2 linked regions of the Cricetulus griseus genome follow. The protein of the gene in region 2 interacts with the protein of the main gene of each other region in a biochemical or structural test. Links are inferred from orthologs where the notes say so. Each region holds a gene or a part of one and is shown on either strand. Other genes may lie near its edges. The genes, in order: Rnf40 and Ube2b.

Evidence for each region.
Region 1: the proteins of Ube2b (region 2) and Rnf40 form a complex in vitro, tested with the Homo sapiens proteins (3 studies listed by BioGRID). The link is inferred for Cricetulus griseus from reciprocal best matches to the Homo sapiens genes UBE2B and RNF40.

What each region holds. Positions count from the first base shown.
Region 1 is NC_048596.1:73,159,222-73,163,027, forward strand, and holds part of Rnf40 (E3 ubiquitin-protein ligase BRE1B), read right to left. Parts: intron 2,960-3,806; coding exon 2,824-2,959; intron 1,636-2,823; coding exon 1,514-1,635; intron 1,425-1,513; coding exon 997-1,424; intron 915-996; coding exon 797-914; intron 632-796; coding exon 482-631; intron 332-481; coding exon 119-331; intron 43-118; coding exon 1-42.
Region 2 is NC_048600.1:66,264,460-66,268,940, forward strand, and holds the start of Ube2b (ubiquitin-conjugating enzyme E2 B), read right to left. Parts: upstream 3,049-4,481; 5' UTR 2,971-3,048; intron 2,655-2,970; 5' UTR 2,630-2,654; coding exon 2,586-2,629; intron 315-2,585; coding exon 234-314; intron 1-233. UniProt on the Homo sapiens protein: E2 ubiquitin-conjugating enzyme that accepts ubiquitin from the ubiquitin-activating enzyme E1 and transfers it to a E3 ubiquitin-protein ligase. In vitro catalyzes 'Lys-11'-, as well as 'Lys-48'- and 'Lys-63'-linked polyubiquitination.

The sequences.
Region 1 (3,806 bases), on a different chromosome or scaffold from region 2:
CTTTTCCTCAAGCTTCTGCACTGTCAGCAGCTGGGCATCCACCTGCGGATGGGAGGCCTCAGTACTGGGTGCAACCTCTCCAGCTTCATCCACAAGTGTCACACCATAGCTGCCATACCTGAGACTTGAGGCCAAGAACCTGCTCGCCCAACTCATCCTTCTCCTCTCGGAGCAGCTTGTGAATCTGGTTGGCCTTGATCCGCTCTGACATGAGTTTAAAGTTGGCGTCATCCTTTTCCCGCAACTGCTGCAGCAGCCGCCCATTTTGCTCCTGCATGTCTTCAAAAGCCTGGCCTGTCACATCCATCTCTGACAGCAGTGCCTCTTCCTCCTGCAAGGGGGAAGGAAGGAAAGATAGAAAGTGGCAGATTAACAAGATGGCTGCTGGGAACTCCCAAGAAAATAGTATGTACCCAGACCATCAAAATGTCACACACTAAAGGCACTTAACCAGCAACCACAAGCAAGAAGGGAATCTCACCTGCTTAGTGGCACCCAATTTGCGTTGCAGGTGTTCTATCTGCTCCTCTGCCTGCCGGATTCGTCTCAGGGCATCCTCATCTGCAATCTTCTTGCTTTCTCTTCGATCTCTTTCCTCCAGTTCTCGGATGCGGCCCCGAAGCTCATCCACCTGCATTCATGGGAGGGAAGCTCTCAAACATTGGTCCGTCCGCACAGCGACACCACTACTAGCTTGCTTTGCATAGTGACAGAATTCAAAAAGCAGCAAACTTGCTGACCCCAAGGCTCTGAAGTCCCTGGGCGAGACTGTGCATGCCCCGCCCCTGGCCCTTACCTCAGCCTTGGCCTTCCGTTCAGCTGCCATCAGCTGCACCTTATCCCGCTGTTCCTTGGGTGCAGACTTGTACATGTCCAGCAGCAGCTTCATCTCCTTCTGACTCTCCTGGGCCTTCCTAGAGAAGGGTACAGAAGGGGATCTTAGTAAGAAGAACTGAAAGCTACTTGACAGGGGAGGAGACAGCAATAGGGCCTCACTTGAGCTCTGCTCGAAGACCCTTGAGCAGTTCTGACTCTTTCCTCTTTGCTTCCTCAACCTTGGCCTTTTCTCGATCAGCCCTTGAGAGAGCTGAGGCTACAGGTGGGGGCCCCAGGACAGGCCCTTCCCGTTCCCGAAGTTCTCGCTTGGGTCTGGCCTCAGGTTCTCGGCCTCGAGAGGGCAAGCCCTGGTTTCCAGGGGTTAGGGCCAGGGCATCATCTTCAGAGGAGACCAGCTCCTCCTTCTTTACTGAAGAAGCAGCAGGGGTGGCTCCAGGCACTGCAGCTATCTCCTTTTTGCTGTCAGGAGTACCTCCAGGGCCTGGCCCACCATCTTCTTTCCCTGGGGCTAGGGCATTGAGGCCAGAGTCATCTGGGTGGCTCAGGCTGGGGATGCAGTGGGAAGAGCCACTGGCCTGGGCCCGGAGCTGTACAGACAGAGAAAAATAGGAATGAGGTGAGCCACTGCCCACTAAGATCTAGCGAAGGCTTTCCCCAGGCAGCTCCCTCTCCTTACTTTGCCAATCTCAGCCTGTACTTCTCGAAGTTTCCGCTTATATCGCTGGGCATCCCCTTTTAGCTGGTGATTATGATTCTGGAGACTGCTAATCAGATGGCGCATCTCACGGTTGATAGGCCCTGAGAAAAAGTCAGAAAGTGGGTATGTAGGACGATCTCCTCCTAACTCTCCAACTCCCCAGAAGGGAAAGAAGCCAAGCAGAGCCCATACTCCCATTGTACAGAAAGGGAAATTCTGCCACTCACGTGGCAGCTCACAGTTCCAGGTGATCTGGTGCCTTCTGGCCTCTGTGAGCACCAGGCACACATGCAATGAGGTGCACAGACACATGCACGAAAGCGAAATACTTATACACATAAGCATTAGGCTTTAATCCTGTTATGTGTGTTTTACTTACATGTATGTCTGTGCACAATGTATGTGTACTGTAGTGCCCCCAGAGGCCAGAAAAGGACTTCGGACTGCTGAGAATTGTGGGTATTGGGATAAAATCTGAGTCCTCTGGAAGGGCAGTCAGTGTTCTTCCCCACCCCAACCTTCCCTGACTTCAACTCCCAGAGACAGGGTTTCTCTGTGTAGCCCTGGCTACCTTGGAACTCAGTCTGTAGACCAGGTAGGCCTCAAACTCAGATATCTGCCTCCCAAAAGCTGGGATTAAAGCTGTGCGCCACTACCGCCTGGCTGTAGTCAATGTTCTTTAACTACTGAGATATCTTTTCAGCTGCGGAAGGGATGGGGGTGGGGAGGAACAATACCTTTTTTTAAAAGATTCATTTTTATTTCATGTGTTTTGCCTATACACCCTACCTGGCCTGGAACTTACTTTGTAGACCAGGTTGGCCTTAAACTCAGAGACATCCACTGCCTCTGCCATCTGAGCGCTGGGATTAAAGGCTGTACAAGCATCTTGATGTGTCCCTGCTTCACCTCTACAGGAATCTTCCATGGTTTTTCTTTTATTGTCGTCTATCACCCTAGAGTTTACTAGAGTCACTCCACAACAGCAGAGATTCTTCATTTATTGGCAGAACCCCAAAACCTAGCATTGAGTGTGGCTCACAGGGAGTACTCAATAAATCTTTGTGAGACAAATCTCTCAGAGGTTAGACCAGCTCACAGTCTGGTGACACCTGCTCAACTTCCCATCCCAGCTGCTATGACACTGGGAGTGACACAGGTAGTGAGTGTAGTGCCTGTTTTCTGTGGCCAATGGAGACTCGGAGAAAAGCTCCTCATTAAATCTAGATAAGCAGCCGCAAGGTTCCAGCACCCTTCTAGGCTTATCTCTACCCAATCCCACCACGTACCAGCCTGCTCGTTGGCCGCAAGGTTCTGTTCAAACTCAATGCGCAGCATCTCATACTCCTTTCGTACCTGGGCCAGGGTATCCTCCAACTGGATCACTTCTGTGCGCAGTTTCTTCTGCAGCCCCAATTCATCACTCTGTGGGTCGAGGCATTTAAAGACACAACCGTATGAGAATCCTACCCCCATACTAATGAAAAGACCTAATTTTTGCTTACAAAGAAATAAAGCTGGCAGACGGAGGTGGCACATGCCTTTAATCCCAAAACTTGGGAGGCACAAGCTGAATTCAAGGCCAACCTGGTCTACAAGGTGAGTTCCAGGACAGCCAGAGATACACAGAGAAACCTTGTCTCAAAAAGAAAAAAGAAAGAAATAAAGCTAGCACTGGTCACTTAATCTTCTATCTCTCCAGAAAAAAAGGACTCCAGTAATCGAACGTAAGATAGATAAATACACCAAGCATCATGGTGTATGCCTTTAATCCCAGCACTCAGGAAGCAAGGGCTTGTGGATGACTTACACTGGAGGCCAACCTGGTCTATATAGTGAGTCCCAGGCTACCCAAGCCTACATTCTGACACCTTGATAGAGAGATGGCTCAGCAGTTAAGAACACTGGTTGCTCTTCCAAAGGACCTGTGTTTGATTTCCAACCCATATAACTGCTCACAACCCTCTGTATCTCTAGTCCCAGGGGATGCAACACCCTCTTCTGGTCTCTGTAGGCACTAGGCAAACTGTGCTGCACATGCATATATACAAGCAAAACACTTATTTATTTATTTGTTTATTTATTTTTGGGTTTTTTGAGACAGGGTTTCTCTGTGTAGCTTTGGAGCCTATCCTGGCACTCGATCTGTAGACCAGGCTGGCCTCGAACTCACAGAGATCTGCCTGCCTCTGCCTCCTGAGTGCTGGGATTAAAGGCGTGTGCTACCAACGCCCTCAAGCAAAACACTTATATCTAAAAATAAAATTTAAAA
Region 2 (4,481 bases):
ACTCGATGAAATATTTCAGGGGTTGGGTCTACCAGTAAGTTGGCGGGAGTACCAGTAAGCAGGCACACATGAGGCCCTGGGTTCAATGCCAGCTTCTCTAAAGAAGTGGTACCCACCTCCACCCCACCCAGTGAGTTTCAGATTCTCCCTCAGTCTCTTTCCTTAGTGCTTATATACTTACTTTTCTTCCGGAGTCCCCACACACCTGTCATCCGGTAACTATTTCAACTCACCCAAATATAACTGCGTTCCATTGCATGATGTTGTTTTCAGATGGTGCACCACTGACCCCCACGGGTGGGTCCTCTTGCAATCTAGAAATCCAGAGTGGTCATTTTCAGAGTTAACATAAAGGTCACCAAGGTCAAATTCTACTGAACCTATTCTGAAAGACTGGCTAGATTGACTTTCTTGTTATCGATGGAGCCAGAATGAACCACAACTTAAATGAATCAACCAGGTTAATAAACTTATTAATAGTACAAGTGATCTCTAAGTCCAAAGGGCTAAGAGATCATCCCTCTTCAAACCACAAGATTTAAGATGTGGTCTCTTGAAGACCCATGTTTCCAGACTGCACTCTTAACCCACTGAAGAGTTATAATCTTAGCAGTAAAAAATATGGCTAGACAACCAGCAACTTGTGCTGGGTGGTGATGGCATATGCCTTAGAAAACTATCACTCAGGAGGCAGAGGCAGGTGGATATCTTGTGAGTTGGAGGCCAGCCTGGCCTACATAGTGGGTTCTAGGACAGTCAGAGCTACATAGAGAAACCCTGTCTTGAAAAACAAAAACAAACAAACAAAAAAACAAAGAAAAAGGGAGAACCTGCAAATTTCCTACCTCAACCATGCAAGGATCACCAGTCCTAACCACAGACACTGCACAACACAGAATTGTAGTCAATCTCTGTATACTCTAAATGACTAAAAACCACATTCAATTTAACTAGAAAGCAAGTTTTATTTCGTGCCCTGTGCTTCAGACAGTGGCTTTCTAAAGTAGCCGGAAGCTCCTGCTAGTTTTCCAAGCAGCCAATTTTAAAAGCTGTTCAAAGGCCAAATCTACCTCAGACCAGGACTTCACAGAGCTTCCAACAGACGTCATCATCAAATTCTTGTAACCTGAAGATCCTTGGAAAACTACCAACTTAAAATCAAATAAAAGAATTGCAAAAAAACGAGCAAGAGATAACAATGGATATAACTGGGAAGTTTTATTTGCGTTTCAGTCATGGAGCTAATCAAATAAGGTGACTTCAAGCCCTGGGTGACTTTTGCACCAAAAAAGGGCATCCTTTCCTGTCAGATTAAAAAACAAAAACAAAACCTCTACCTCTCCCTCTCACACACACACACACACACACACACACACACACACACACACACACACACACACACAAATGAAATATGTTATTTTCAGATGGTAGGACACTTGGCAATCAAGTCCACATAAAAAGTGTACTGTTTGGTCACTCTCAAGCAGATTAGGCCGCTGATAGGGTTTACAGGAAGTACTACTTACTGCTTGACTCCCCACTTTTAAGTGGCCAAAAGCATCAACAAATGAATTAAATAATGTCTAGGGTCCAAGACAATGGCTTCTAAATGCTTCACACAGGGCTCTATAATGGCGAAGTTAAGAGGTTACTTCCTGAGCGGCAAATCTAAGTTTCTATATTACAGATTTGTCTCAATCACGGCAAGTCTGCCCCCAAAAGAAAACAAGACTATCTGGACGCTGGACTTCAGGTAGTTTCTGCACTTGTACGTTTCCAAAGAAAGACAAACAATTGGAAGAGGGAAAAGGTCATTTTCTTCCTCCAAGCCCCGTATTTCCCAACAAACCACTATTTTCCAAAAGAACGCCCAGGTGGAGTATCAGATTAGCATCAGGCTGACGGAAGGCATTTTTCCAGGCTAGGGAGGCTATAGATAGGCTTTTATTCGGCAGCCAGATCTCAGTTCCAGAAGGCATTGGCAGCACGAGTGACCATCTCCTGGCCCAGGTTTCCCGAGCCAGTTCTCAAGGTCCTTCCAGGTGGGCGGGGGCAGAATCGGGTTTCGGGGGATGGGCTAACCACCTCCGGCCCTCGCGCAGCAGACCCCACCCTCATCACTGCAGAAAGGGAAGGGACATGGGGCAATATTCACCCTAACCCCAATCCAAACGGGAGGCCGCGGGGCGCTCTAACAAAGCTGGACTGGTCTGCCAAGCGAAGCCCCAGCCTCAAGCGGAGCTCACTCGCACCGGCTGGGGAGGGGACGCCGCAGGGCACAGAGGCAGGAGATGAGGCGGCGACAGCTGGCCTAGGTGGGCCTTGGGGACACCTAGGCCCAGCGATGGCCTTCTTACTTCTTTGGGGGAAGGGCAGGGGGCAGTAGTACCAACCATCTTTACTCAAAAGGAGGTACCAGGCGAGGGAGGAGTGGGAGCCGCCGGTAAACCGGGACTGCCGCGGATGCCGGAGGCCCACAGTCCACCCCCTCAGGGTCAACAGGGGAATAGGTCCCGGATCCCCGCCCTGCAGTCCTACGGATTCGGGAAGGAGCCGTCATATTGGACTAAGGCGAGGGCCCTTACCGCTTGAAATCCCGCATGAGCCTCCTACGGGCCGGGGTCGACATGCTCCGCAGCTGCCCCGCGGTCAGTCTGAAAGAAAAGAGTCCCGTTCGGCCCCCCCACCCCCCGGCGCAGCGGCCGAATCACTGTGGGTCGCCGCCGCCGCCGAGACTGCACAAACAACCCTGCAATGACGTCTCCCTCCGCCGCCTCCAGATCCCTCCGCCCTCCGCCAGTACCACCGCGGGAGGAGGGGGGAAGGGGCGGGGCGAGCGGGCGCGCGCGCGGCACCGGCCGGCGCAAGGGGCCGTCTTCCGGGCCGTCTTCCTGTGGGGAGCTGGGCAGACTCCGCTCCCTGCTCACGCTGGACACCGCAGGGTCAAGGCCGCTGGAGGCCACATGCTACCTCGACTCTCTCCCCCCGTTGCTAGTTTCAGGTTCGGCCGGACGGGGAGAGACGGACGCATCCGGAGCCTGAGATTTCAGGGAGAGGAGGTGGGATGACGTCAGGTCACGTGACCACTGGCGGCGTTGTCAACAATCCACCCCTGAGGGGGAGGGAGCGAAGTATCTAGAACCACGTGTTCCTGTGACGCCATTAGAACAGGTCACGTGACAGCGTCGACTCGCTCTTGGTTTGGGGTCTAAGGAGGCAGGTCGTTGAGTTTCTGGGCTTGACACCTCTAGTTATACCTTGTTCTTTTGGCCCCAAGTATAAGGACTTTGCCTAAGGAGACGTTGTGGAAGGAGCCGCTTGCGTTCTAAGTCTTTAAAACGGAACAAAAAAAAATCTGGATTTAATTCTGTTTCAAGTGACTTAGCAACTCTGGTACGTGGAGCAGGTACTGAAAGGGTCGCGTAGACTTACAATAAACAGCTTTGAATGCTAAGGTCGGCGCAGATGAGATGGGCTCTCGGTCACTGGGACCAGTAGCCTGTTGGTGCTAGTGGGATACGGAGATGAGACTGGAATAGCCCTTAAAGACTGCACAGAACTTTCCTTAGTTGGGATCTGAATCTGCCTGCGTTTGAGGCACAATGTGGAGGTGTGACTTTAGAGCATATCAATGGGCTGCTGGTCGTCAAAGAAACCTTCAAAAATGATTCAGATCGGGGAGAGATCGAGCAGACATGAGTGGGAGGTATTTCTTGAGTCTTAAGATAACTCATTATGGGTTTTGAAATAATTGCAAGGAGAGTGCAAAAGGACAGGAAGAACCCGGTCGTGCAGCAGTTCAAAAGCCTTGACCCTGCAGGCTTCTCCTTTTCCGAGTCACAGAATACCCACCCTCCGTTTCTAGTTCCAGTTTGCTACTCTACGGTACCGAACATTTTAGTAGACGCGGAATTCTTAGCTGTAGAAGGAGGAAAGGAATGAGAATCCACCGCTTCACTCCTGCCTATATTTCCATGAAACCAGGAACGGTTTACGTTTGCCACTGTCTTCAAACTCTGAATTTTCTCTTCATTTAAAGTAACCTTGAGAACCCGATGACTTGGTGCATTCTGCTAATCCCACCGTTCAGGTAGTGGAAAGGATCAGGAGTTTAAAGGTAGCCTCAGTGACAGTGGAATGGTGGCCACCCTGGGCAGCCTGAGGACGTCTCATCTTCCCCGCCCCCACCACCGTAAAGAAAGTAACCTTGAGGATTGTTAGGTAGGTCTAACTCCCCCTAGCCGCTGCTGTGCACTCACAATGCGACTAAGTTAAAGGTTAAGTGTTCTTTTCTCCTTTTTGAGGTGTGCGATAGAACCCCAGGGCCTTACACGGCCCTTTAAATATTTATTGAGCCGGGTATGACATGCTGAGCACAACCTCAGCATGATAGAGGTGGTGGCAGGAGGATTGCAAATCCCGTGCCACATTGAACTGCATGGAGAGAAACTGTCTCTGGGAAAAACAGTGAGACAGTCTCC